4 linked regions of the Anolis sagrei genome follow. The protein of the gene in region 1 binds, or shares a complex with, the protein of each later gene. Links are inferred from orthologs where the notes say so. Each region holds a gene or a part of one and is shown in the gene's direction. Other genes may lie near its edges. The genes, in order: PRIM2, POLA1, PRIM1 and POLA2.

Region 1 (7,308 bases):
GGATCTCATAGCATTGCGCTGTAACAGTTTAAATAGTGTCAGACTGCATTACCCTTACAGCATAGATTCAGCTGTGGAAATGAAGGAGTAGCGATAGGTAGGTAGCTACAGTTCCTGTGGCAGGTGGTTAAAGCTTCTTCTGAACTAAACAACATCAGTGCAAACCTGCAAAAGCACCAGATTGCAAAGGTGGGCTTAAGCTAGATAATGATTTTCACCTCTGTTGTCCACATAGAGTGCATTATGGAAAGTACATAATGCAAACATAGTAAACCATAGCTGTCCTGTAGATTAATAACTCTCACTGCAATGTGGAATCAATCTAGCCAATCTGACAGTCGATTTAATAACAAGAATTCTTCAAGAAATCATACTGGGAAAGGAAAACCACTGCTTCATTTTAAACACCTAATGGTGCATTATTCTAGTTCTAATATAGCAATGTAGTGTTAAATAAACAAAGTGCTCTTGTAACTGTTGTTGTTACCTAGTCATAAGAAAAATGGTTTAGTGCTTCTCAAGTTTTTTTGCATCTGCTTTTCTACAGTCTATTTAAACTCTACATTCCTTTTTTATTTTTTATTAAAAAAACTAATTTGTGTGAACTTGGCATCACACAAACTGATTATTTCTGTAGTGCATTGAAGAATGCTGCTATTACTTCAAAGTGAACAGGGCTTGCTTAAAATGTACCAGCAATAATTAACCTCAGTAATTATTTCTATTAATAGAAGTAAAGAATGCATTTTCCTATCTACAGATCACCATTACCATTACAGTGTGTGTACTATTCCAAAATATAACTTCAAGGATTGAGTAAAGAACTATTATTTATCAAGTGGCAAATTCATCAGGACTTTTGGCTGCTACAACAAAGTAAACTGGCAAATTGCCACAGGACTCTTGGATTACTGGAAAAGGAAGAAAGTTAATGGCTGGCAATGCAAATAAAATAAAACAAAACATTGCTCTTGCCTTTTCAAGACCCTTGAAGAAACAAAACAAATGTAAATAAAAAAGCAAAAGCCTAACTGCCTGTGTTGTCTGTAGACACCTCCAAGGTCATGTAGCTAGTATGAGTGCATAGAGTGCTGGTACTTTCCTGCTGGAGTGGTACCTATTGGTCAACTCACACTGGCATGTTTTCAAAGTGCTAGGTTGGCAGGAGCTGGGGCTAACAGTGGGAGCTCACCCCACTCCCCAGATTTGAACCGCCAGCCTTTTGGTCAGCAAGTTCAGCAGCTCAGTGGTTTAACCTGCTGCGCCACCAGGGACTCCCAGTGTTTTAAGTGTAACTCCAGCTCTCTCTCTCTCTCTCTCTCTCTATATATATAAACACACACACACACACATTTGTTAGAGCTGAATAGTATAGGGAAGGGTTAACTTCCCCATGGTGTTTCTTTTGCTGTCTATGCCCCTGTTCAGAAGATTCCACCTCACATTCTGTCACTGTGAAAATTGGATTTTGGAAAATGTCGCATGTTGTGGAAACAAGGATTGGTGGTAAAGTTTCAGTGGAGACATCTTTTCCCGTGATAATAACTTTTCCAGGAATGAATTTCCCTTCAGATTTCTCCCACTTCCTGTCTCATCCTTGTTATTAACTATGAGTTGTTTGGAAGTTGGATGTTTGTAACTTGGGAACTGCTTGTAAATAATGGCTTATGACCAGTGTAGCTTGAATGCGGTTTGACACCAGTTTTGCTGCCAGTGCTCATTCCTGTGGAATCATGGGATTTCTACTTTGGTGAAGGACCAGCATGATTTGGCTAAGAAAACTAAAGATGATGTAAAATGGCAGCTTCTTTGATTCCATAGCATTGAATGAAAGTGGTATCAACCCCAATTAAATCTACAGTGTAGACGCACCCAAAGACAGTTTGATACAGTGAAGCAGAATGGTTTTATTGATATATCAGAGTCACATGGCATTAATACTTCAAATATGGTAAGATGCCATGATTGTGATGGAACGCCCAAGCCTTTTGGGAAAAACTATAGTGTCTGGCTTTACTTGGGGGATATCGGTACACCTTCTGTTAAGATTAAGAGCCTTAGGAGACAGAGGCACTTTAGGCAAGGTGATAAGATAACCAAAATGAGTTTATTGCAAACAAGATGAATAAAGTGTTAACTCCAGATGAGACTATCATAAGGTAACTTAAAATGATATATTACAAAAGAAGCCTTTCCTGGCTCTGGAGTCTTTGAAAGTTTCCTGCCTCTGGTGCAAAGCGATGGTTATAAACTGACTCAATCTTCTTTCTTGTGAACCATGAGTTGGTCATAAGTTTCTGTTGTCCTTTGGACAGATGGTGTAAAAATACTGCTGAATGCAGGTACTAAGGGTGCCTGTTTTTGGATTGCTAGGCCTAGGGTTACTAGACAATCCCAAGCCTAAGTCACAGTAGCTCTGCTGTAGAAAAGAAGGAGGAGTTCAGCAAGAGAGCTCTGTACAGGGAAATGGAACAGACTAACTAAGGCTGGCCTCTGGGGAGGTGTTATGCTCCACCCAAAAACTAATACAAAGGAAGGCATCTACAGTATTGGGAAAATCTATGAACAGGGGGAACTAAAGCAGAGGAGAGGAGAAGGCAAGACATCACAGTGCTCATATTTATACACACTTCATTTATTTCTTGTGAAGCATGAGCTGGTCATGAGCTTCTGTTGTCCTTTGGCCCCCAACTTAGCAGCCTTCAAGAAAAATCTGAAAACTTGGCTATTCTGATGTGCCTTCAAAGAGTGACCATTTATTCCATCTCTGTCTGCTCCATCCATAGTGGTGTCCCCGTCCTAAACTGGAATAACATAATTTTTATAATTTTTTTTATCCTACCTCATCCAGGGTTTTATCATTTTACCTTGTCCATTTGGCCTGCCCATTTTGTTTGTTTTTATGTTGTGTTAATTTGCTTTATAGATGTTATTTTTGTTACTGCATGTATTTTATTCTGATGTACTTTATGTTGTCTGTAGTGTGTATTTTAGTTTTGCTGTATTTGTACCTTTGGGCTTGGCCTCATGTTAGCAGCCCCGAGTCCTCTTCGGGGAGATGGTGGTGGGGTATAAATAAAGATGATGATGATTATTTGGACTGCTGGTATAAAAATACTGCTGAATGCAGGTACTAAGGGTACCTGTTTTTGGATTGCTAGACCTAGGGTTACCAGACAATCCCAAGCCTAACTCACAATAGCTCTGCTGTAGAGGAGTCCAGCAAAGAGCACTATACAGGGAAATGGAATAGACCAACAAAGGCTGTCCTCTGGGGGGATATTAAGCTCCACCCAAAACTAACACAAAGGAAGGCATCTACACTATTGGGGAAACCTATGAACGGGGGAACTGAAGCAGAGGAGGGGAAAAGGCAGAGCCAAGTCTTCACACGGATGATGTTTGTGATACTATGCATGCCTTCTCCTACATCAAAGGATTTACACACAAGTAAACTTAGGGAAGAAGAGGAGGAGGAGGAGGAGGGAAAGAAAGGGAAAGAGAACAAACCTTGGGGCAGAAAGAGGAGCTTCTCTTAGTGACACGACCTCCATGCCATTCCTTGCAAATCCCAAGGCCTGGCTTAAGCCTAGCGCTTCAGTCAAAGAGACGGTTAATACTTACCGAGGGAAACGACTTCCAACTACTGCTTGTGCCTGCTAAGTCTTTTTCTTATTGCCATTAACGTAATGGAATTAGTTTTCTAACACGACCATCAAATGGGCGCAAAAAATGCATCCAGAAGGAACTGACCACATAAAACGCGAAGGAAAACATCTGTCCACCTTTTCCCAATGGGAGCCGGAAGTGGAGGCTGTACGCAGCGCTCACCTGATGCGCTTACCTCTATAGCCTCAGGGCGCGAGAACAGCCCTGCCTCCGCCGCTGGCCAAGGCCCTCCACTCCGACCCTCAGGTCCGCCTACTTCCGGCCTCGTGGGTTCCTTCCTGTCATTGCGTTCGCGTCGCCGTGGCAACCCAGAGATGCCGGCGGAAGAAGTCGGAGAGAAAGGGGCGGGGTCAAAACGAGGCTCCCAGGGAGGGAGGAGAGAGCTACGTCACGGGTAGAAAGGAGGGGAGGCGTTGCCGTGGCAACCCAGAGAAGCCGGCGGAAGAAGTTAGAAGGGGCGGGGTCAGAGCGAGGCGTTGAGGGGGGTAAGAGGCTACAGGCGGGAAGGGAAAGGTGTTGCTATGGCAACGTAGGAAAGTCGGCGGAAGAAGTTAGAGAGAAAGGGTGAGACAAGAGGAGGAAGCGAGCCTACGTCACTAGCAGAAGCGGGGGGGGGGGGAAGGACGTTGCCGTGGCAACCTAAAGAAGCCAAGTGGAAAGAGGAGGCGCTGCCTAAGCAGAGGAGGCCACGTCACGGGCAGAATGAAGGGAGGAGGCGTTGCCAAGGCAACTCGGAGAAGCCGGCGGAAGAAGACAGAAGGAAGAGGTGGGACCAGAACGAGGCGCCGAGCAGGAAGTGAGCTTACGTCACGAACAGGTGTTTTCGCGCGGGAAATTGGGATCTGACCCTCGCGCGCTGAAAAAGGGACAGTAAGTAACTTTTGGAAAGGTAGGCGGGCGCCAAAAAGGGAAGGAAGGGAGGGAGGGGGGTGCTGGTTTGGAGTTCCTTTCTTTTGGCCTTCCTTGTGTATATGTTTTCTCGAAAGGAAGACCTTCATTGAGGCCTGTGGGGCGTTCACCTTTTGCCACTGAGTATACACCCCCCAGTGAACTATATCTCCCTAAGTTCACAGCCATTTCTCCTATATATTGACAGACCCTTGGCTGCTCCTTCCTTCAGGGACTGACACAGGTACATCTTTGGAAACTACACCGTTGTTGTTCTTTGCCATACCTTTCCTTCCCTCTTTCTCTCTGCATCACTCCTAATTCTAGTTGTGCATTGCTCCCCTCTATCTAGACTCACATTTACCTTCTGCAGATCAGCTACTCTTCCTATATTAAGTTGTTAAATAAGAAGTAAGGGATGTGCAAAAGCATCATGGTCAAGGTAGGACATGCCGACTCCAGATAGTTGTACACCACTTTAACCAATCTCTTTAGCAGGACCTTACTGGCTTCATTGTTCTTTTTGTCACAACCATGTCTGTTATTCTTCCAGTTCGGTTGAGCTAAAACCCTGAAAATAAGAATAATAGCAATTAAGATTCTCAGCTAGAGAAGGACATACAAAATGCATGTTTATTTATTTACAACATTTATATCCCGCTTTTCTCACCCTGAAGGGGACACAATAGCTTACAAGTTATAAGTAAAGGTTTTCCCCTGACATTAAGTCCACTGGTGTCCGACTCTGGGGGTTGGTGCTCATCTCCATTTCTAAGCCAAAGAGCGGCATTGTCTGTAGACACCTCCAAGGTCATGTGCCCAGCATGACTGCATGGAGCTCCATTATATGTACATGCAATATATTATATTATTAGCTTAGCACAATATTAGTATTATGTATTACTATATTTTACTGTACCATTATATTGTAATATTATTAGTAATATTACATGTAATATGAAATATAAAATTATTATATTGTAGTATTATTACTATTGTATTACATCATAATATTATCAGTATTATATGTGTGTAGATTATTAACACAGCACAATATTAGTATTATATATTACTATATTGTACTATGTCACTATGCTGTAATATTATTAGTAATATTACATGTAATATAAAATATATAATTATATTGTAATATTGTTAGTATTATATTGTATTACATTATAATATTATAATATATTATATGTATACAATATATTATATTAGCCCAGCACAATATTAGTATTATATATTGCTATATTGTTACTGGGAGGAGGGACTCCCAACCGATGACTCAGGAGACATGGTGAGTCTTCCTGACTCCCCTCCTTCACTCTCCTGTTGAGATTAGTTTGTGGTTTTCTCCAAACTCTTTAACAGAATACTCTCAATAAAACACAGGAGATTGACCTGCCCTAAGTGTCCCAGTGGCATCAGATGTATTTATTATTTATTATTTATTTACTGTATTTATATACCGCCTTTCTCACCCCTGGGGGGACTCAATGCAGTTTACAACATGTTAATGGCAAAAATTCAATGCCAACATACAAGTAAAACAGGAAACCATAATAACTAACCACTACATATAACCAAGATTATGGCAAAAAGAATGATTGACAACTGGAAAATAGAGGGAGAAAATGTGGAGGCCATGACAGACTTTGTATTTCTAGGTGCAAAGATAGATGCAGACTGTGGCCAGGAAATCAGAAGACGCTTACTTCTTGGGAGGAGAGCAATGTCCAGTCTCGATAAAATAGTAAAGAGTAGAGACATCACACTGGCAACAAAGATGCGCCTAGTCAAAGCCATGGTATTCCCTGTAGTAACCTATGGATGTGAGAGCTGGACCTTAGGGAAGGCTGAGCGAAGGAAGATAGATGCTTTTGAGCTGTGGTGTTGGAGGAAAGTTCTGAGAGTGCCTTGGACTGCGAGAAGATCCAACCAGTCCATCCTCCAGGAAATAAAGCCCGACTGCTTACTGGAGGGAAGGATACTAGAGACAAAGTTGAAGTACTTTGGCCACATCATGAGGAGACAGCAAAGCCTAGAGAAGACAATTATGCTGGGGAAAGTGGAAGGTAAAAGGAAGAGGGGCCGACCAAGGGCAAGATGGATGGATGGCATCCTTGAAGTGACTGGACTGACCTTGAAGGAGCTGGGGGTGGTGACTGCCGACAGGGAGCTCTGGCGTGGGCTGGTCCATGAGGTCACGAAGAGTCGGAGACGACTGAAAAAATGAACAACATATAACTATGACTTAAAATCATTAAAACAATTAAACGTACAACATCAAACAAAATTTAAACATTAAAAGAAAGCATTAAAAACATCCAGGCATAAATATGAAGGTCACATCATCCAAAAATCCTACACCGTAGCTATTCTGATTGTCATTGCACATGTTCCTTAATTACTCTTTGCACTGCATAATTTTACTGGCCAAGACTTGGTCCCACAATCACGTCTTTGTTATCTTTCTAAAGGCATATCTGATCTTGAAGGCTAAACAGTGAATACCAGTTAATACCAGGTGCTATAGGCTGTATTAGAGGCCCCTTCCACACAGCTGAATAAAATCCCACATTTTCTGCTTTGAACTGGGATCTATGGTAGTGTGGACTCAGATAACCCAGTTCAAAGCAGATATTCTGAGTTATATGGCAGTGTAGAAAAGCCCTATGCCAGTCCAAGAGCTGCTGGAGTAAATCCCCTTCAATTCGTTTTGGGAAGCAAAAACACAACTGCTGTCAT
Region 2 (6,950 bases), on another chromosome or scaffold:
GGCCAGGCAGACTGTATAACCCAGGAACTTATACAATGATTTGCATATTCACATCTTAAGATTTTTAAATAAAAAAACCCATCTGGGGGGCTGCAAAATCCCAGGACAAAGCAGCAAAGGTGGACGATGGAGGCAGAATAATAATAATAGTAAACTTTCATAACTGTGCGGTTTTCTGGCATTGTATATTTCTGCCGCTTCTGTGATGGTTCATTTGTATTTTGATTCTTTAGCCCACTTGTCAATGGATGTCCAGAATCAGCAGCATCCACCACGGTCCTGTTTATCTTGGGCGTCGACCGAGCCAGTATAGACTTCGTTTTTGGTTTGCTTCTCCATAGTGCTAATGGGTTAGGTGCTCTTGGTTCCACTCCACAGCTGAGACCTCTCTGGCTTGGTTGGACCTGCTGGTAGTTACTAGGGCTGGGCGGTTTCGTTCGTTAATTTCGTAATTCGTTAATAATTTGTTATTTTTCTTGATAACGAAGCGATAACAAACCATTCAGGAGCAACTAAAAAACGAAACGAATTTTTAAAGCTATTTCGTAATTGTTTTGTAATTGTTTCGTTATTATTTCCGTATGTCTGGTGCAAGTTTTATAGTTGTTTCCCTCCCCTCTCCCTGGTTGCAAGCATTTACCCCACTTCCGGGTCCCTGGCCTCTGCTTAAGTGGATCAAATTCTCCTCTCCTCCTGTCGTCACCTCACCTCGTTCCTCACTCTGGCCTGCGTGCATTGGGCAAAGAGACACAGCAGTGCAGCACTCAGAGACCTGCCTGTTGCCTGCCTAACCTCTTTCCTTCTCCAGGTTAAAACTATTATATTTATTATATTTATTATTATTATTATAATTATTAAGAATGGATGGCCATCTTTCAGTAGTGCTTTGACTGTGCCTTACATGCAGGAAGGCAGAAAGTGGTTTGTTATAATAATAATAATAATAATAATAATTATTGAGAAGTGTTGTCAAACCAGAAGAGAGATCTCACCCCTCCTCTCTTTCCCCCCTCTTTCCTTCTCCAGGTTAAAACTATTATATTTATTATCTTTATTATTATTATTATAATTATTAAGAATGGATGGCCATCTTTCAGTAGTGCTTTGACTGTGCCTTACATGCAGGAAGGCAGAAAGTGCTTTGTTATTATTATTATTATTATTATTATTATTATTATTATTGAGAAGTGTTGTCAAACCAGAAGAGAGATCTCACCCCTATTATTTTCAGTAACTTTTATAAGTTACATTTACAATCAACTAACGATGTATGCAGTTGTCTCTTACTATGTATCTGTTCTGAAGCCATAATCTCAAGCATTCCATACATCTTCTGTGAGATGTAGGGCCATAGTGCTAAGTAAGATACAGGTAAAGGTTTCCCCTTGACATTAAGTCTACTCGTGTCTGGCTTTGCGGGGTGGCGATTATCTCAATTTCTAGGCCTAAGAGTCGGAGTTGTTTGTAGACACCTCCTAAGTCATGTGGCCAGCATGACTCCATGGAGCGCTGTTACCTTCTTGTCGAAGCGGTACCTACTGATCTACTCACATTTGCAAGTTTTCAAACTGCTAGGTAGGCAGAAACTGGCGCTTACAATGGGCGCTTACCCTGTCTACAAATCTGAACCACCAAACTTCCGATCAGAAAGTTCTGCAGCTTAGTGGTTTAAACCACAGCACAACCACGGCACCCTAGTAACGAAGCTTTATTTTTATTTAATTTTGTAATATTTTATTATAATGATAATTATTTTATTTTACATTTTGTACTGTTTAATTTTACACACTTTTACAGGAGTCCTTCACGTGCCCCTTTTCTTTAAGAATATGGCTTATAAAAGTTTAAATAAAACAAACAGAGTCATATTTAGTGGTAATAGTTTTATAATAATGTGTGATAGGAAAAAAAATAGAAGTGTAACTCACATTTCGCTGGCATTTGTAGGAATTAGGAGACGTGGCTTCCTTTTCTATCTTGCGTTTTTGACGGCCCACCATCCTTGCTGGAGTGTTTGCCTTTTCTTCTCCACCAATGTTGCTTTCGAAAATGGGTGAATATTAAGTTGCTCCAAGTGACTTGATAAAATCCAGCAATTTTCTTTTTTTTTTTTCACTGAAAGAGGCGGACAAAGGTTGTGCCAAGTTGTTCTCTATGACGGTCCCAACAAAGTTTAAAGATCGTGTAGACATAATCCACCGAAGATAACGCTATTTACAAAAGGATGACCCCAGTTTGCTGGCTGGTGTTCTCCTCTTGGCCATGCACATTTGGAAGGAAAACTTACTACATATTATTTGGCATTGTAGATCAGAAAGAGCCAGCATACTTATTTGAAATTAAGAAGTAACAAGTAAGGGATAATGGGAGCTTCCTTCTGCACCAGCAAGTGTTGGGCCAGGATGAAAAGGCTATTGTTTAAGTTGTGCTGCAACTATGGCAACAGCTTCGGTTTGAAAATTTAACTGTGTCATGGGCCAAAAATCTGGCACTGAGTGAATGACAAAACTTTCTCCTGCATTTATTACGGCTGAGTGAGCAAGTCTTATTTTTTTCCACACAAGGAAGCCTGCAAGGGGAACTTTGGATGCTCTGTCAGCCAAAATATGGTCAGAAAAAGGAAGGCAAAACCTGGTACAGTAGCTTTTCCCCCTCATGTCAGGAGGGACTTGAGAAACTGCAAGTTGCTTCTGGTGTGAAAGAATTGGCCGTCTGCAAGGACGTTGCAGGAGGACGCCTGGATGTTTTACCATCCTTGTGGGAGGCTTTTTTCATGGCCCCACATGGCAAGATAGAGCCGACAGATGGGAGCTCACCATGCTCCTTGGATTCGAACCTTTCCCTTAGCAGTCCTGCTGACACAAGGATTTAACCCAGGCATGGGACAACTTGGGCCCTCCAGGTGTTTTGATCCTCCAACTCCCACAATTCCTAGAAGCCTTAAGCCCTCAAATCCCTCAGGAATGTTAGGAATTATGGGAGTTGAAGTCCAAAAGACGTGGAGGGCCCAAGTTTGCCCATGCCTGGGTTAAACCCTTGTGTTGGCAAGACTGCTAACCGAAAGGTTCGAATCCAAGGAGCTGGATGAGCTCCTGTCTGTCAGCTCCAGCTTCCTGTATTTATAAGAGCTTTATAAGGTCCAATGAATTGGATGAAGCTATTTCGTAATTTGTTCTCCTCCTGATTTTGGATTATGACCCACAATAACACATCCCTATGTGTATGTGTGTGTGTATTTCTTGGTGTCATGGTTTTTATTTTATTTTCAGGGAGCCCCCGGTGGTGCAGTGAGTTAAACTGCTGAGCTGCTGAGCTTGTTGACCGTGAGGTTGCAGGTTTGAATCTGTGGAGCGGCGTGAGTTTCCGCTGTCAGCCCAGCTTCTGCCAACCTAGCAGTTTGAAAACATACAAATGTGAGTAGATCAATAGGTACTGCTTTGGCTGGAAGGTAATGGCGCTCCATGCAATCATGCTGGCCACATGACCTTGGAGGTGTCTTAGAAATGGTGATGAGCACCACACCCTAGAGTCGGACACGACGGGACTTAATGTCAGGGGAAAACCTTTACCTTTACCTAAGTAAATTTCAATGTATTTTTCTATTACTTTGTAACATGTTTCCTTCATGCTTCAAAGATATTAAGCTAAACAGCATTCTGATTTTTTTTAAGGGTGAGCAGAGTGAAGAGGACCCTAGAACACTACTTTGGGTGCATCTACACTGTAGAATTAATGCAGTGTGACACCACTTTAACTGCCAGAGCTGAAAGCAAGATATAAATAAATATAAAAACTTCACTCCTCCCTGTTTCTGGCCCGCCCGCGCTCCTTTTGCTACATTCGGAATACTGAAAACCACACATAAAGCCGACGCGGTGTGGTTTTATTTTCTGTTCCACCAACCCGCGCGCACGCTTTTTCCTCCTCAGCCGTAGCTTTGACAGGCTCAACCTCTTCTCGACCCCAAAGCGGAATGGGAAGGACGGATATCGTCACCGCGGCTTCTGATTGGCTGGCCGCCTGGCCGGGGCACTTGGGTCTCTTTTTCTCGCGCCACTTTTCAGGCGCTTTGGCGCGAGAGAGCTGCAATGGAGGGCAGTGAGAGCGCGCGCAACGGGGCCGGTTGCCATGGAGGTGAGAGTGGGTTTTGCGGAGGGAGGGGGGCTGGAATGGAGGGTTCGAATAAAAGAGAGAAGCTAGGGAGTGTCAGAACCCCCCTCCGGTTCGGAGTGGTTGCGCCTGCTCTTACAAAGGGGTTTGAATGGGAACCTGGGGCCAGTACCATTGCGAAATTGGGGAGGGGGGTTCTGTTTCAAACAAAATGGCAGCAATGTGGCAGCCTTCATCTCTAGTTGAACGGAGCAAGCTTCTGATCTGGATAAATAAGCCCTTTCTCTCTTAGGAGAGAAAGCAACACACAATACAAGCCTGTGTGTGCGTGCACACACATACACACATGTGTATACAATAGACTTTCAATTAACCGGCATCCATATGTGTCGGATAAATGTTGTTTCTGGATGCTTCAGAGTTATTATTTAAAAAATAGGCCTAATACTATACCCATGCCACAAACCTTGCATTGACTTCATATTTCTATTGGAAACACAGTAATTAAAAGACAAGCTTAAGTGACACAGGGTTGCTGTGAGTTTTCCAGGCTGTATGGCCATGATCCAGAAGCATTCTCTCCTGACGTTTCGCCCAAACCTATGGCAAGCACCCTCAAAGGTTGTGAGGTCTGTTGGAAACTACGCGAATGGGGTTTATATATCTGTGGAATGATGTCCAGGGTGGGAGAAAGAATTCATGTCTGGGTTGTTGTAGGTTTTTCGGGCTATATGGCCATGTTCTAGAGGCATTATCTCCTGAAGTTTCACCTGCATCTATGGCAAGCATCCTCAGAGGACCTCACAACCTCTGAGGATGCTTGCTATAGATGCAGGCGAAACGTCAGGAGAGAATGCCTCTAGAACATGGCCATATAGCCCAAAAAATCCCTACAACAACCCAGTGATTCCAGCCATGAAAGCCTTCGACAGTATATTGAGCTCTTGTCTGTTTATGCAAGTGTGAATGTTGCAATTGGACACCTTTATTTGCACTGAATGGCCTTGCAGCTTCAAAGCCTGGCTGGTTACTACCTAGGGGAATCCTTTGTTGGGAGGTGATTTGCTGGCCCTGATTGTTTCTTGTCTGGAATTCCCTAGTGTTCTAGTGTTCATTGTTTACTTACCTGATTTTGGAGTTTTTTTCAATACTAGTAGCAAGATTGTGTTTGTTTTCATGGTGTATCTATCTCAAGTGAGGTTTATATATATATGTGTGTGTGTGTGTGGAATGTTATAATGTTATAACCAATTGCAACATTCATACTTGCCTCAAGCAGACACGAGCTCTTTCTCCTACCCTGGACATTCCACAGATACATAAACCTCATTGCCCAGTTTCCATCAAACCTCCCAACCACTGAGGATGATTGCCATAGATGTGTACAAGCGTCAGGAGAGAATGCTCCTAGAACATGGCCGTACAGCCCGGAAAACTCACAGCAACCCAGTGATTCTGGCCATGAAAGCCTTTGAAGACACATTAAGTAACATAGCTTTACTGTATTATAAAAACTGGTTATAACTGCTGATTTTATTTTATTTTTTATTTAAAGTATACAACTATTTCTGCTTGTTTCTTGAGTCCCAGCTAACAGCGTTGCCTTTCTTTGTGTATGTATATATATCTCTCTCTATGTCCCCATTAACTGTACTGGAGCTTACTTCCAAATAAGTGAGTGTAACGCCACAATCTCAGCAACAAAGAAAATAAATGAGACCCCTCACTCTCGAATCCCTTTATCCTGAGGTCTTCATATCTTTTCTGAAATATGCTTTAAGGGCTGGTGCAATCATAGACATTTTTATTGGAATTCAGTCCTGCTGGGTTAAGGTCCTGTCTAATCTTGGAAGCAAAATGGGCTCAATCAGGTTAGGACTTGGATGGGAGACTGCTAACGAATAGAGGTTGAGCATCCCTTATCTGGAATTCCAAAATATTCCAGCACTGTCCACATTAGTAGCTGAGCCAGAGACATCTTTGCTTTTTGATGGTACACAGACTTTTTAAATGGATATCAAAAATATTGTATGACTTTACCTTCAGGTTATGTATATAAGGTATGCGTAAAATATAAATGAATTCTGTGTTTGGGCTTAAGTCTCTTATCCGCAATATTTCATTATGTACATATTTGTGAATAACAGGTATTCCAGCATCTGAAAAAATCCAAAATCCAAAACATTTCTGGTCCCAAGAATTTGTGTTAGGTGATACTTTATCTCTGTCAGGTGATGTAGGCAATGTTTCAGAGGCAGAAACTGGCAAAAACACCTCTGAGTACAGTATTTATTTCTTAAGAAGACCCTATGGAATTAAGCAGGTTGCATAAATAGTCAGGCAACTTGAAGGCACACACATAATTGTACAAGCGTCAAAGCCTTAAATGCTCTATTCTTTTAAATGAGTCGCCGTATAGGCTGAGATATTAGCGGTATACAAATGTACCAAATAAATAAATAAATGTTACCAAAGATACACACATTAAATCATGTAATATTTTTAATCAAAATGATTGATGACTCTCAGTGAGATATTGAAAAGACCACTAGAAATGCCATGCAGTTTCTGATGACTCCAGGGAATGATTCTGTAGAGATAAGAGCTACATTTTTAATGTCCCCCAAATGTCCAGCATCTAGAAATAAGCTGGGTAATGACAGAGTAGTTGTTGAATCCCTTGACAGGATAACATAGCTAGACTGATCTAATAGTTGTATCACTCAATCCTACAATAGTACTATGAGGGAATTACTGAATGAGAAATTGTGGCAGAAGCAGTCAGCAACAGAATGTGTGAAGCTGCTCTCTGTTGTTAATAAATATTTGGCTTGGAAAAT
Region 3 (6,974 bases), on another chromosome or scaffold:
CTGCGGGAATCCTTTGTTGGGAGGTGATTAGCTGGCCCTAATTGATTCTTGTCTGGAATTTCTCTGTTTAGAGTATTGTTCTTTCTTTACTGTCCTACTTTTAGAGTTTTTCAATACTGGTAGCCAGATTTTCCTCATTTTCATGGTTTCCTCCTTTCTATTTAAATTGTCCACATGCTTGTGGATTTCAATGTCGTCTCTCAAAGAAAACTCACAGCAACCTAGTCTAGAGTTGCATGACTGATTTTGGGGTTTTTTTTAATAGTTAGTACAAGGCAGGCCACGTTGTAGAAAAGTCACCTTGTTAGCTGGGGATTTCTGAAAGTTCCAATCCAAAAATTGTAACTTTTCCAAAAGGTGAATCAGTACTGGAACATGGCAGCTAAAAATAATTATTAAAGCTCCTCCTGATCCGATGCCTCAATCCCAATCAGATTTTGGAGTTCCTCAAGTAGTGAGTATATGCTTAACAAAAAACAGAAGCAGCAGCCTCCCAAATGTTTCTTTTAGTCCCCAGTAAACATGGACAGCACTCGTTAATATTTGGATGGGAGACCACCAACAAATACTGTATGCTCTATTTCAGAGGAAAGAACTGACAAAAACACCTCTTGAGCATTCCTTGCCTAAAAAACCCTATGAAGTTCAGCAGGCAACTTGCACATACACACAGGGCACATCTACACTGTAGAATTAATGGATGCGGTTTTCACAGACAACACACAATGACATATATATGAGTATTCTTACACATGTTCATAACATTCCGGATTTATAGACATGTGCAAGAATCCTAAGGCGTTCTACTTCTAGTTCTACTGAAGACCTAAGAGCCCACTCAACGTCTATGGAAAATGGACGAGTGTAAAAAATGAATCTTTAAAGGCTTTGCATACCTCAGAATTCACTTCCCTTGTGACTGTCCAGCTGTTTGAAGTGGGACCATCTGCAAGTTAAAAAAGGCGTATGTAGTATATAAATAACCTTTAAAAACCATCCCACCCTACATTTGTATAGGGACTTGGGATAGGCTGCAAGTCAACAAATACTTGGTTCTTTTGCAAGTGCAGGTGAAAGTCCAAAGCATTGGCTGTATCAGCACCCTGCCCGCTCTGGCCAAGATCCAACTCTTTCCCCTCTATTGATTTAACTCCCCTGGTGATTGTGTGCAAGGACAGTAACTGTGTTGCTTGGCAGCTCCTTGAGGCCAAGTCTCCCGATTGCTTCACACTGCCGACTGAACCAGAATTAGTCCAAAGTTTATTTTGCAAATATTCATCTCCAGTTGCAATCACGGTGCATGACTAGGGACTGTCAAAAATGTCCCCAACTCATTAGAAATGTGAGGAAAAAATGGTCTAGCTTCCTATTTTATGATTGCCACTTTTTTTTTTTCAGAATGTTACTATTTTGTATATTCTTCCAGGGAAACAGCATGGTGGAGGTACTTGAGGACTGGACTCGCTCAGCCATGAAAACCCACTGAGTGACCTTGGGGAAGCGGAAATGTCCTTTTGGAGTTTTGTTATACAGCAGAAGGGACAAATGCTAGACACACATGCTAAAATTTTAAAAACCCAACTTCAGTAGTCTTCGGGAGAACGTGAGTATGATTCCATGATCAGGAATGCTACAGGAGTTCTTATCAAAGGATAGGAATTTGAGAAAAGTGAGATATCGGGTGACACAATCTCAAACAGTTGCAATTAGGAGGAAAAATAGGTGTCTAAAGCAGACCCGCACAATATATTATTATTATTATTATTATTATTATTATTATTATTATTATTATTAGATACATCACACAGTCCTAGACATCAAATACAAAAGCCAGCATACTGATTTGTTTAATACAAGATTAGTACACAGCAAGCAAGGTCACTATGCTGGCTGCTGTATTGGATCACATGTCGGACACTTCTCGAGTGTCTAGCACTGTGTGATGTATCGGCGAATAATGCAAGCAGATCCAGGTAGGATGGCCTTTTGCAGCTGACAGTTGGGAATTTTGCCTGGGCCAATTGTTTTGAAGTGCAGGCCAAGATTTTTAGACATTGCACCCAGTGTGCTCATCACCACTAGGACCACCTTTACTGGCTTGTGCCAGAGCATTTGCAGTTCGATCTTTAAATCTTCATATCATGTAAGCCTTTCCAGTTGCTTCTCGTCAACTCTGCTGTCACCTGGGATTGCAACATCGATGATCCATACTTTCTTTTTTCTATGATTGTAAGATCAGGAGTATTGTGCTCCAAAATTCTGTTTGAATTCAGAAGTCTCAGAGTAGTTTGACATGTTCATTTTGTGTAACTTTTTCAAGCTTGTGGTCCCACCAGTTTTTTTGTCGTAGCCAGGTGGTATTTATGGTACAAATTATTTATTATTTATTTATTTGAAACATTTATATTCCACCCTTCTCACCCCAAAGGGGACTCAGGGCGGAGCACAACATATATATGGCACGCATTCTGTGCCAGAACATAAAATATCTATAAATATATACAACACTAATATCAGTGGCTCCGGTCAGTGGAGTGCTTTCCTATTATTGCCTTATTCCATTATCCCAAAGTTCCAGTGGATCATCTGAGCAATGGTATTATGCCTCTGCTTATAATCAATCTGTCTGCGCGATCTTCTGTGTATGTGATCCATCGTTTCGTCTGCTTCCTTGCAGAGTCTACATTTGGAATCTGTCGTCGACTTTTAGATTCTGGCTGTGATGGCATTGGTTGTAATGGCTTGTTCTTGGGCTGCCAGAATCAGGCCCTTGGCCTCCTTTTTCAAAGTACCACTTGTGAGCCACAACCATGTTTTTTCTTTGTCAATTTTGCTCTCAATTTTTCAAAGGAACTGTCCATGGAGAGCCTTCTTTTGCCAGTTTTCTCTTCTGTTCTGCATTGTATTTTTATGGTATTCACTCTTTGTCTTTTGTACTTGAAGCAGTTTTCTACTATTGACTTCCATCAATGTTGGTGCTTGACTGCCTTTCACATAATTAGTGTGTGTTTCTCTTCTTCTACTGTTTCACTTGCAGAAGCCCTCTGCCTCCTAATATTTTGGGCAGGTAAAGTCTGTCAACACCGTCATTATTTGATACACAACAAGATTAGCAACCAGCAAACAAAATCACTATGCTGACTTTTGTATTTGATCACATGTCGGACACTTCCCAAGTGTCTAGGACTGTGTGATGTATCAGTGAACAATGTGGGCAGATCCAAGTAGGGTGGCCTTTTGCAGCTGACAGATGGTAATTTTGTCAGTGCTGATTGTGTTTAAGTGCAGGCCAGGGTCTTTAGGCACTGGGACTACCTTTACTAGCTTGTGACAGAGTCTTTGCAATTCGATCTTTAAATCCTCATATCGTGTACTCTTTTCCAGTTGCTTCTCATCAATTATTGTTGTTGTTGTTATTTATACCCTGCTTTTTCTCTACAAGGTGACTCAAAGTGGCTTACATTAGCATTTCAATACGACTGAAAATCTACAAATATACACATTGTGCTTTTAATTATTGTTTTTCAAGATGAATATCACATCAATACAGAGGTTGTGGTATGGTTAGTTCTATTTTAATAAGTCACTCTCAAGCAACTGGCATCTACAAATCCGACAGGTGCCGCTTAACTGAGGCTTGTGATCAAATACTAGCCTTATAATCCAGTTTAAGAATGTGGATTATCTGCATTGAACAGTATTAGATCAGTCTACACTGCCCTACAATCCAGATCTATGCACTTAATCCACATTCTAAAACTGAATTAGAGGCCAATGTAGGCCTGACCTATATTGTATTTCGGAGGGAGCTGTAAAGTGCTTCTAAAACCGACCACTAGAGGGCCTCCAAAGCCACGTGGGAACCCTTAAGTCTCGCGGGGACTACAATACCCACAATGTTTTGGGGATTGCGTCAGGGAAGGCGGGGGCGATTCTGATTGGCTCTCCGAGCTGTAGGGGGCGGGGCCCTGCATTTTCCCGCGCGATTCCCTCCTTCCTTGCGAGGGATCATGGCAGAGTTTGACTCGGGCGCTTTGCCGGACTTGCTGCCCCTTTATTACCGCCGCCTCTTCCCCTTCGGCCTTTATGGACGGTGGCTGCGCTACGGCGACGGTGAGGCCTTTGGTCCGGGCAAAGGGGGGAGACTGCAGCCTGCCAACGAAAGTGCCTCTGAGCATGTACAGAAATCGGCTATGTCCAAGGATGCATCTACACCAGGCGTGGGAAAACTTGGGCCCTCCAGGTGTTTTGGACTCCAACTCCCACCATTCCTAACAGCTTCAGGCCCTTTCCTTTTCCCCCTCAGCCGCTTAAGGGGCCTAAGGGTGTTAGGAATGGTGGGAGTTGGAGTCCAAAACAACTGGAGGACCAAAGGCTTTGCAGCCAAAAAGGCTCCACAGAAATGGCACTACAAGGCAAACATTGATGACATCTGGCAATGTAGAAGTTACTGGGGAGATACAAACTTAGCTTTTGGTCCTTTAATCTAGAACAGGGAAATTCCAGCTGTTCCGATAACTCAAAGAATCCTAGAGTTGGAAAAGACACCAAGGGCCATCCAGTCCAATCCCATTCTATCATTCAGAAACACAATCAAACCCCTCCCGACAGATCAGCCTCTGCTTAAAAACCTCCAGAGAAAGAGGCTCCACCAATCTCTAGTAGCATATTTCACTGCTGAACAGCTCTTATTGTCAGGAAATTTAGGGGTGGGGTTGTCTATTTGAATTTATAGCTCTGCATTAGGTTCTCAGGGGCAACTGTCACAGAATCCTGGGATTTGTAGTTTGGTGAGGCACCATCACTCTAGTAGAGAAGGTTAAACGCCTTGTAAAACTACAACTCCTAGGATTCCATAGCATTAAGCCATGGAGCCCCCCAGTGGCACAGCAGGTTAAACCTGCTGAATTTGCTGACCAAAAGGTTGGTGGTTCATATGTGGAGAGCAGGGTGAGCTCCCGCTATTATCCCCAGCTTCTGACAACATAATTTGAAAACATGCAAATGTGAGTAGATCAATAGGTTCCGCTTCTGTGGAAGGTAAGGGTGTGCCTTGCAGTCATGCTGGCCACATGACTTTGGAGGTGTCTACAGACAACTCCAGCTCTTTGGGTTTGAAACAGAGATGAGCACCACTCCCAGAGTCGGACACAAGAAGACTTAATGTCAAGGGGAAACCTTTACTTTTAAAGTGGTGTCAAGTTGCATCAACTCTAGAGTGTGGGTGAACCCTAGGAGAAGAGATGCCAAATGTGGCTGGCCTTCCGTCAGGGCTGGTGGAATGGGCTTGGTTTCCTTACCTGCCACCCTCTGCAGATTACGTGCATCAATTGTTACCACACAGCAGAACTAGAAAATATAGCACTTTCAGCATGCTCAATGAACTTTATCTATATCTTGTATTCTTACAGCAGTTTGTGAGAGTATTTCTCTGTTATTTCTCAGCATTTTGCCAAAGGCTATCATAGAAGTTTATGAAAGAACGGATGTTCAATGGAAGAACTTCTTCACTGTTTTTATATATAACTAAGTCTTCTTCTTTCTTTTAGTGATGAAAAATTACTTTCAGCGGCGAGAGTTTTCATTCACGCTCCGCGATGATATCTATGTGCGGTACCAATCTTTCAACACACCCCAAGAACTGGAGAAAGAGATACAGAAAATGTGTCCGTACAAAATTGACATTGGAGCCGTGTATTCACACAAGGTATTGAAAATGGTGGTAGAGTAATAGAAACAGTGGTTGTATAGAAAGGATCTCTGAAAAGGATTTTAACCTATCCCTTTTCTTTATGGTAGATGAATGCTGTCAGGAACTATTTCTATATACTAGATTTCCACATTTTCTTGTAAAATGCCACTAGAGTGTGAATTGTACTCAAACTTTTGCCATTGCCTGAGTATTTTTATAGTTCAAGTATGTGCATTTTTCGAACTCATCTTGTCTTCTAAAGCTCAAATGCCTTTTTCCTCAAGAGACACAGGCAATTCCCAGCTTGCCTCTACTTTACTTCTGTAAGTTTCCTTTTCTATAGTTTTAATATATTCATGTGGCCAAAATAGCATCGCCTTCCCCCATAAAGGCAGCCTGAGCCAGCTTATGAACCCCAATGTTCACAAACTATTATGCTGACTGGCAATGGCAAAGCAGAGAATCTGTTTGAGAAGGGATTCAATGGAGTATCATGGCAAATGGAACAGCTGACGCAATCACTTTGCCTTGTAATGTTTTGTTGCAAGGGCCACAGATACCATAATGATGCCTGATACTACCATCAGTGATACATTGTGCAATGATCTATTGTCTCACTAACTACCCAAAGCCAAACATGACAGATAGAGGGCTGGATGTGTATTTGGGGATGAGTGGGACACTTGGAACTACATCTATGAAACCTGGGAAAATACAGCTGCTTGCTTAATGATGTGTATAGTAACATACCATTCACAGATTGTCTCCTCCTTGATATTCTTGCTAGGATGCTAGAGTTGGGTGATTGGTTTGAACAAACAGAACATGCCATTTGGACTGTTTGTTGTTTTCATGCAGACGTAGAAGAATATAGCAGAGAAAGCAGACACCTTTCTTCTAATGTTGCTCAAAGGCCTAGTTGTGATAGAAAAATAGGGAACTCCCTTATACCAGATCTGACTATACCTAGGCCAGTCTTGTTTTCTCTGCATGTCAATGACTTTCAAGGGTTTCAAACACATGGACTTCCCATCACCTGTTATCTGATTCATTTGACAGGAAATGCAGGGGATTGAGCGCTGCAGGCCTCTGTCAGTAAAACATGCTATCTTGTTGAGGTTGAATATATCTTATCTCCAAAAGAGACACAATAGACATGTAGCAAAGTGCTCAACACTAACTATTGGGTCTACAGCCCAGAAGTGGCTGTATCCAACCATTGAGGCATTCCATTCTACACACAATTATTCACTGAAATATCACCTGCCTAGTAATCAGAAGA
Region 4 (7,647 bases), on another chromosome or scaffold:
TGTCAGGCATCCTCAGCGGTCATGAGGTCTGTTGGAAACTAGGTAAGTGGGGTTTAGACAGGAAACAATCATGGCCAAATAAAACCTCCCAACAAAGAATTCAACCCGGCAGGAAGCAGACAGGCTTTGAAACTGCCAGGCTATTAAATGCTAATCAAGCTGGCCAATTGCAACATTCACACTTCTCTCAAACTGACAAGTTCGTTCTCCCACCCTGGACATTCCACAGACATATCAACCCCACTTGCCTAGTTTCCAATGGGCCTCACAACCTCTGAGGAGGCCTGCCATAGATGTGGGAAAAACGTTAGGAGAGAATGCTTCTGAAACATGGCCATACAACCCGGAAAACTCAAGCGACCGATTATTATTATTATTATTATTATTATTATTATTCAGTTCTTGTGGGTTTTTTCGGGCTATATGGCCATGTTCCAGAGGCATTTCTCCTGACGTTTCGCCTGCATCTATGGCAAGCTTCCTCAGAGGTGACCTCACCTCTGAGGAAGCTTGCCATAGATGCAGGCGAAACGTCAGGAGAAATGCCTCTGGAACATGGCCATATAGCCCGAAAAAAACCCACAAGAACTGAGTGATTCCGGCCATGAAAGCCTTCGACAATACATTATTATTATTATTATTATTATTATTATTACTACTACTAGCCATCCCCTGCCATGCGGTGCTGTGGCCGAGTCTGTGTATATGTGTTTTGTGTGTGTGTATATCTGTTTATATCTTTTATTTATTTATTTATTTATTTATTTACTTTGCTTGTATACCGCAGTTTCTCAGCCCGTAGGCGACTCAACGCGGTTCACAACAAGAGCAAAAAAGTCAATCCAACAGGCATAAAAAATTTAAAAACCCATTAAACAACATAATATACAGGATAATAACACATCAATATCAACTAGGGCTGGGCCATTCGTTTCGTTAATTCGTAATTCGTTAAAAATTTCGTTAATTTTTGAATTACGAAACGATAACAAAACATTTTTTTTAACCTGGAAAAGTTTTTAAATATTGAAACGGCAGGCGCCAAAAAATTTTGTATTTCCGTCCATTTCGGAAATACTTAAGATGGCCGCCTGCCGATGCTTGCTGAGAGGGCGAGCTTACTTTTCCTTGGAAGGGAGAGGGGCGAGCGAGCAGCTCGCGAGAGGGGCGAGCGAGCGGCTCGCGAGAGGGGCGAGCGAGCGGCTCGAGAGAGGGGCGAGCGAGCGGCTCGCGAGAGATTTTGTTCATCTTCATGGTTTCCTCCTTTCTGTTGAAATTGTCCACATGCTTGTGGATTTCAATGGCTTCTTTGTGTAGTCTGACATGGTGGTTGTGAGAGTGGTCCAGCACTTCTGTGTTCTCAAATAATCAGGCACATCAATTCACTCTCAACAAGAGATTCCCCCCAGGCGCTTCCAGGCCATTGAATGCAAATCAAGGTGATCAGCTGAAACATTACCCTGGTCATTCCACAGATATATAAACCCATTTTTCCTACTTCCAACAGACCTCACTACCTCTGAGGATGCTTGCCATAGATGCAGGCGAAACGTCAGGAGAAAAATTGCCTCCAGAACATGGCCATATAGCCCGGAAAAACCTACAACAACCCATTACGTTTTTTATTTATATAGATTATTATTAATACTCTGCTTTTTTTCTCCACATGGAGACTCAAAGCAGCATTTCAGTCTGATTAAAAATCTCCAGATATATAAACATTAAAACACAATTAAACATCATTAGAGTTTTGTAATGGACGTGTCTTTCCTCCTTTTTCTCTCTTCCAGTGGATACAGCTAACCATGTTTGCCTGAAAGAAGATAACGGAGCCAACCCCGCACGGCTGCCTGGCCTTCCTCCTCTTTGGACACCTTTTCTTATTATTATTTTTGTACCTGCAAGTGCCTTGCGTCACAATGGGATGGCTTGTTGCCTTTGATTTCTCTCTTATTTTGCTGCCACTTCTTCCCGCAAAGGAGGGAGGGCCCTCGCTTACACTCAAACACACGCACTCCGCACACATTGCCTTTGCAACGCCCACCACCTGTGCCTGGACACGCGTGACCTCGGGAGCCACCCCGCTTCACGGAACCGCTTCCTGCTCTCCGACGCCAAGGAACCACGCGACACCGTCTTTCTCCATTACGTGCCATGGTAACGGGACCGAAGACAACGTCGGCTTCATATTTTGGAAGACGGTCATCCTTTGGTTCGTCAGTTTGGATTTTCTCCTGCCCTTAAGCATGAGATGAGCTTGCTTTCATCTTTTGTGCTATTAAAGGAGAAGAGGAGAATATATAAATATGCAAATATATATACATATAAAGACACTCTCCATGCCAACTTGGACCCTTGGAACACTTTCCCACGCTTTGCCATATTTACAGGAAATTCCCCTATTTACAGGAAATTCAGGCCTGGGCAAACTTGGGCCCTCCAGGTGTTTTGGACTCCAACTCCCACAATTCCTAACAGCCGGTAGGCTGTTAGGAATTGTGGGAGTTGTAGTCCAAAACACCTGGAGGGCCCAAGTTTGCCCAAGCCTGATCTAGTCTTATCTTCTCCCTTCTACCCGAAAAGCAATGGTGCAAATACAAAAGTGTGTCATTTCCTGTATACGTGTGCGTGCAAATATATATCGATATACACTTTATTTTTTCCAGAAGCATATTAGTGCTTGCTGATGCTTTATGTCCTCTTCCGATTGAGGAATTTGGAGCCCAAAAGCATACTTACATCTCTCTCTGCTTGTTATGGGGATGCATAGATGCCCTTTGGGGGGTCTTCGGGTTGCTTTTAGAATGCCAAAACGGGGCGCTTTTTGTCCGAGACGAAAAGTTGTTGCTCGATCCTATCGGAGGATCCATTCTTGAGATTCATTTTTACATCCTCATCCTGGGTACTACTGTTTTATCTTCTTCCTTTTGATTGTTTTTCTCTGTTTTATATTGTAGTAAAAAAAAAAGACATATTTTATTGCCAAAGTAAATAAAGGAATAAAGTTGCTACGACAAAAATCCTTTTTGGTTTTTATGACTTACGCTTTTTTTAAAATATTGTTTCTTTGTTTTGTTTTGTTTTTCTTGCTGGATGCTTGAGAGTTCCAGTTCAATTGAAAGGGTCTTTGAGTGAAATTTGCAAATGCTAAGCAAAGGGCTTTGAATGAAATTAACAGCAAAAGATAAACATACCCTTTCTCTGTGGAAAAGGAGCAACAGGGAAGAAAATATTTTTAAGAAACAAGATGCAACATGTAGAAGTCGGAAGTTGTGTTATGGTTAAGTTCAACGGTTGTGGTTAAGTGCAGAGTCTGCAGGTACAAGAAGGTACTTTTCATCAAAAGGTCAACGGAGAGGGGCTGGAAAGAGAGTACTTTCCATGACCTATTACTTGAGTATAAAAGTCAGCAGAAAAAGAGGAGGGGTGCGGCAGTCACTGGAAGGGTAGCATCTGCGTATGCTGCCAGGCTGTCCGTCTTCTTCATGAAGAAACTAAACCTTGTTTTTTGATCTTTTTTTGGGACTGTCTCCTTCCTTACATGTTCCCGTGATGTGGACTTAAGAAGACCCAATTTAGGGTCTCTAACACAATGATATTTTTAAAATAATTGTACAGAACATAAGACACTTCTTAATTAAGACACCTAAAATCATTAGCGAAGAAAGTTAATGACACATTTATTTATTTATTTATTTGTATATTTATTTGCTACATTTTTATACCGGCCCTCTCAGCCCGCAGGCGACTTGAGGCAGTTCACAAGGCAACAATTAAATGCCAACATCATTAAAACATTTAAAACATTTAAAAGCATTTACATATCAATTAAGACCATAACACATTAGTAAAAGCAAATCATTTCGTCTCTGTAGTTTTCTATGATCTACAGAGACACTCGCTGGAACACCTCAGCAAGCGAGAGTCCAAAAGTGGCAGGTTCAAACCCAGAACCTCAACCAATGGCTGATAGCAAATGAGCAACTCCCCCCTGGGCACACAGAGGACTGGGCAACTTGGAAGGCGCTGAACAGACTTAATTTGCATAGAAGTCCTCCCATTGGAGAGTTGGCTCGCCCTAGGCCACGCCCATTTGAGCTAAAGTCCACAAAAGCCGGAAGATCAGACATACTTTACATAGAAGTCTTCCCATTGGAGCGTTGGCTCTCCTTAAGCCACGCCCACTCGAGTGGAAGTCCACAAAACCCGGAAGAACAGACCTACTTTGCATAGAAGTCCTGCCATTGGAGCGTTGGCTCGCCCTAGGCCACGCCCACTCGAGCTGAAGTCCACAAAACCCGGAAGACCAGACTTCATTTGCATAGAAGTGCTCCCATTGGAGCGTTGGCTCTCCTTAAGCCACGCCCATTCGAGTGGAAGTCCACAAAACCCGGAAGAACAGACCTACTTTGCATAGAAGTGCTCCCATTGGAGCGTTGGCACGCACTTGGCCACGCCCACTCGAGTGGGTGTCCACAAAACCCGGAAGACTAGGCATACTTTGCATAGAAGTTCTCTCATTGGAGCGTTGACTCACCCTAGGCCACGCCCATTCAAGGCCTTAGCAGCCACTCACAAGGAGCTTACTCCGCCTCCTTTTCCATATAAGGTGATTAGGGGCGTGGCTTTCCCCTCCAAAGGTGGCGGGAAAAAAAGGGCGACCAGAAGCAATGGAGTCTCCAGCTTTGGAGGCTGTGGTGGCCGAGCTGAAGGTCTTCGGCCTTGACGTCGCCGAAGGGGAAGACGAAGGCGCTCTGGCCGGGAAGTGTAAGTGGCTGCATCCCCACTGTAAAGTTAACGCAGTTTGACACCGCTTTAACTCAGTTGTGGCTCAGTATTCTAGCTGAGGCCTGACCCAAGCAGAATAGAGTTAATAGAATCATAGAATCCCAGAATCAAAGAGTTGGAAGAGACCTCATGGGCCATCCAGTCCAACCCCATTCTGCCAAGAAGCAGGAATATTGCATTCAAATCACCCCTGACAAATGGCCATCCGGCCTCTGCTTAAAAGCTTCCAAAGGAGGAGCCTCCACCACACTCCGGGGCAGAGAGTTCCACTGCTGAACGGCTCTCACAGTCAGGAAGTTCTTCCTAATGTTCAGATGGAATCTCCTCTCTTGTAGTTTGAAGCCATTGTTCCCTTGCGTCCTAGTCTCCAGGGAAGCAGAAAACAAGCTTGCTCCCTCCTCCCTGTGGCTTCCTCTCACATATTTATACATGGCTATCATATCTCCTCTCAGCCTTCTCTTCTTCAGGTTAAACATGCCCAGTTCCCTAAGCCGCTCCTCATAGGGCTTGTTCTCCAGACCTTTTATCATTTTAGTCGCCCTTCTCTGGACACATTCCAGCTTGTCAGTACCTCTCTTGAATTGTTCGCCTGTGACTCAATTTGGATACCACATTCCTATTGATACAGCCTAGAATCGCCTTGGCCTCTTTAGCTGCTGCATCACAGTTTTTTCCCCCTCATTGTCCATTGAATCTTGTGTTGTTGTTGCTTGATCAAATGGGCATCTTGTGTTGTTGATGGGAAAACATCCATGAATAAAATATCAAGGGATAGAACTGCATGTTCCAGGATCCTCAGTCCCATATAGGCATCAATATATTATATATACATATAATACTGATAATATTACAATGTAATACAATATACTACTACTACTACTAGCTTGTTTTCTGCTTCCTTGGAGACTAGGACGCGGAACAATGGCTTCAAACTACAAGAGAGGAGATTCCATCTGAACATGAGGAAGAACTTCCTGACTGTGAGAGCCGTTCAGCAGTGGAACTCTCTGCCCCGGAGTGTGGTGGAGGCTCCTTCTTTGGAAGCTTTTAAACAGAGGCTGGATGGCCATCTGTCAGGGGTGATTTGAATGCAATATTCCTGCTTCTTGGCAGAATGGGGTTGGAATGGATGGCCCAGGAGGTCTCTTCCAACTCTAGGATTCTATGATACTACTAAAATGATATTATAATTATATATTTTATATTACATGTAATATTACTAATAATATTACAGTATAATGTTATAGTACAATGCAATATCTCTATATATATAAATGTTCTGTGCATAATGAGTACCTTAAAAACAAAAGAACCAATGAACAAAATCACACCAAATTTGGCAACAAAACGTCTCACAACACAAGGAGTGACCATCACTCAAAAAATTAGGATTTTGTCATTTGGGAGTTGTAGTTGTTGGGATTTATAGTTCACCTACAATTAAAGAGCATCCTGAACTCCAACAACAATGGAATTGAACCAAACTTGGCGCACAGAACTCCCCTGACCAACAGAAAACACTGGAAGGGTTTGGTGGGCATTGACCTTGAGTTTTGGAGTTGTAGTTCACTTACATCCAGAAAGCACTGTGGACTCAAACAATGATGGATCTGGACCAAATCTTTGATACTGCATCTGTCATATACATATATGTGTGTATGGCACGAATACTCAATATGCCCAAATATATAATCACAGATGGAGTTTGAGGGAAATAGACCTTGATATTTGGGAGTTGTACTTACTGGGATTTATAGTTCACCTACAATCAAGGAGCATTGTGAACCCCACCAACAATGGAATTGGGCCAAACATCCCACACAACCCCCATGACCAACAGAAAATTTTGTTTTCTGGTGGTCCTTGGTGACCCTTCTGACACTCCCCTGGTGACCCTCCCCTGGGATCTTGACTTCCCAGGTTGAGAAAGGCTGCCTTAAGGCCATCCAGTCCAGCTCCCTTCACCAGGGCAAGAAAACATAATCAAAGCCCTCCTGACAAAGGGCCATCCAGCTATTCACACACACACACATATAAGTATATGACAGATGCAGTATCAAAGATTTGAAAGGGACCCCTAAAGAAGGGCAATGATATGTTGCATGTTCCAGCGTGGGTAAACCAGACACTCTCCACATCAACACTGGCAAAGAAACAGCAAGAAATACTGTTTTACCCACAAGCATCAAGACATTACATATATTAGAAACCAACACTTTCTCATTACTTTATTTTCCAGATCAGCAGACTGGGCCACAGCAATGCGTGGCAGGGGACCACTATATATAACCCCACCAATGATGAAATTGAACCAAACTTGGCACACAGTTCTCCCATGACCAACAGAAAATACTGGAAGGGTTTGGCAGGCAGTGTCCTTTAGTTTTAGAGTTGTAGTTCACCTACATCCAGAGATCACTGTGGACTCAAACAGTGATGGATCTGGACCAAACTCTACATAAATACACAATATGCCCAAATGTAAACACTGGTGGAGTTTGGGGAAAACAGAATGTTGACATTTGTGAGTTGTAGTTGCTGGGATTTATAGTTCACCTACAATCACAAAGCATCCTGAACCTCACGAACGATAGAATTGGGCCAAGCCTCCCACACAGAACCTCCATGTGGGCCACAGCAACGCGTGGAAGTGGGTGGCTAGTATATAATAATATTGTGCTATGGTAATAATATAATATATTGTATAGGGGCAAACTTCCCACAATGAAACCCCATAACCAACAGAAAATACTTAAGCCCACCCAGACAAACTCCCTTCACCAGGGCCAGAAAATGTAATCAAAGCCCTCCTGACAAAGACCCATCCAGCCATAGATATAGATAGATATGATTCACACA

The links.
Region 2: the proteins of PRIM2 (region 1) and POLA1 are in contact, whole or in part, in a cryo-EM structure (PDB 8G9F), measured with the Xenopus laevis proteins. The link is inferred for Anolis sagrei from reciprocal best matches to the Homo sapiens genes PRIM2 and POLA1. Residues at the interface, in XP_018121015.1 of Xenopus laevis: Pro34, Pro35, Thr36, Glu37, Asn38, Ile39, Ser40, Leu41, Ile42, Phe44, Glu45, Ile49, Ile107, Phe110, Ile111, Leu114, Cys117, Gln118, Ser119, Glu120, Asp121, Arg123, Ala240, Arg241, Leu243, Val245, Val246, Gln247, Arg251, Leu252; in NP_001082055.1 of Xenopus laevis: Leu842, Lys853, Ile894, Pro895, Glu896, Leu971, His974, Arg977, Glu978, Leu981, His982, Glu985, Gln988, Lys989, Asn991, Glu993, Asn1007, Asn1009, Arg1101, Asp1102, Glu1106, Gln1109, Glu1221, Asp1224, Gly1225, Asp1227, Ala1229, Leu1230, Met1233, Trp1234.
Region 3: the proteins of PRIM2 (region 1) and PRIM1 are in contact, whole or in part, in a crystal structure (PDB 5EXR), measured with the Homo sapiens proteins. The link is inferred for Anolis sagrei from reciprocal best matches to the Homo sapiens genes PRIM2 and PRIM1. Residues at the interface, in NP_000938.2 of Homo sapiens: Glu165, Ala168, Ser169, Pro171, Ser172, Phe188, Ala189, Leu192, Phe195, Arg196, Gly197, Arg198, Val200, Tyr201, Leu202, Glu203, Asp204, Gly205, Phe206; in NP_000937.1 of Homo sapiens: Lys147, Glu148, Asp149, Phe150, Gly151, Phe152, Ala180, Val181, Gly184, Ile185, Glu187, Tyr188, Ser190, Leu191, Lys193, Lys207, Ile208, His209, Pro210, Ile212, Arg213.
Region 4: PRIM2 (region 1) and POLA2 share a complex: the UniProt entries of both Homo sapiens proteins name them as parts of the alpha DNA polymerase complex. The link is inferred for Anolis sagrei from reciprocal best matches to the Homo sapiens genes PRIM2 and POLA2.

The regions. Positions count from the first base shown.
Region 1 is NC_090021.1:118,613,102-118,620,409, reverse strand, and holds the start of PRIM2 (DNA primase large subunit), read left to right. Parts: upstream 1-4,295; 5' UTR 4,296-4,539; intron 4,540-7,308. UniProt on the Homo sapiens protein: Regulatory subunit of the DNA primase complex and component of the DNA polymerase alpha complex (also known as the alpha DNA polymerase-primase complex) which play an essential role in the initiation of DNA synthesis.
Region 2 is NC_090023.1:86,499,181-86,506,130, reverse strand, and holds the start of POLA1 (DNA polymerase alpha catalytic subunit), read left to right. Parts: upstream 1-3,929; 5' UTR 3,930-4,088; coding exon 4,089-4,134; intron 4,135-6,950. UniProt on the Homo sapiens protein: Catalytic subunit of the DNA polymerase alpha complex (also known as the alpha DNA polymerase-primase complex) which plays an essential role in the initiation of DNA synthesis.
Region 3 is NC_090022.1:137,140,683-137,147,656, forward strand, and holds the start of PRIM1 (DNA primase small subunit), read left to right. Parts: upstream 1-3,963; 5' UTR 3,964-4,010; coding exon 4,011-4,113; intron 4,114-5,549; coding exon 5,550-5,707; intron 5,708-6,974. UniProt on the Homo sapiens protein: Catalytic subunit of the DNA primase complex and component of the DNA polymerase alpha complex (also known as the alpha DNA polymerase-primase complex - primosome/replisome) which play an essential role in the initiation of DNA synthesis.
Region 4 is NC_090032.1:10,785,363-10,793,009, reverse strand, and holds the start of POLA2 (DNA polymerase alpha subunit B), read left to right. Parts: upstream 1-4,625; 5' UTR 4,626-4,670; coding exon 4,671-4,767; intron 4,768-7,647. Other genes in the region: CAPN1 (calpain-1 catalytic subunit), read left to right, coding at 1,791-1,817. UniProt on the Homo sapiens protein: Accessory subunit of the DNA polymerase alpha complex (also known as the alpha DNA polymerase-primase complex) which plays an essential role in the initiation of DNA synthesis.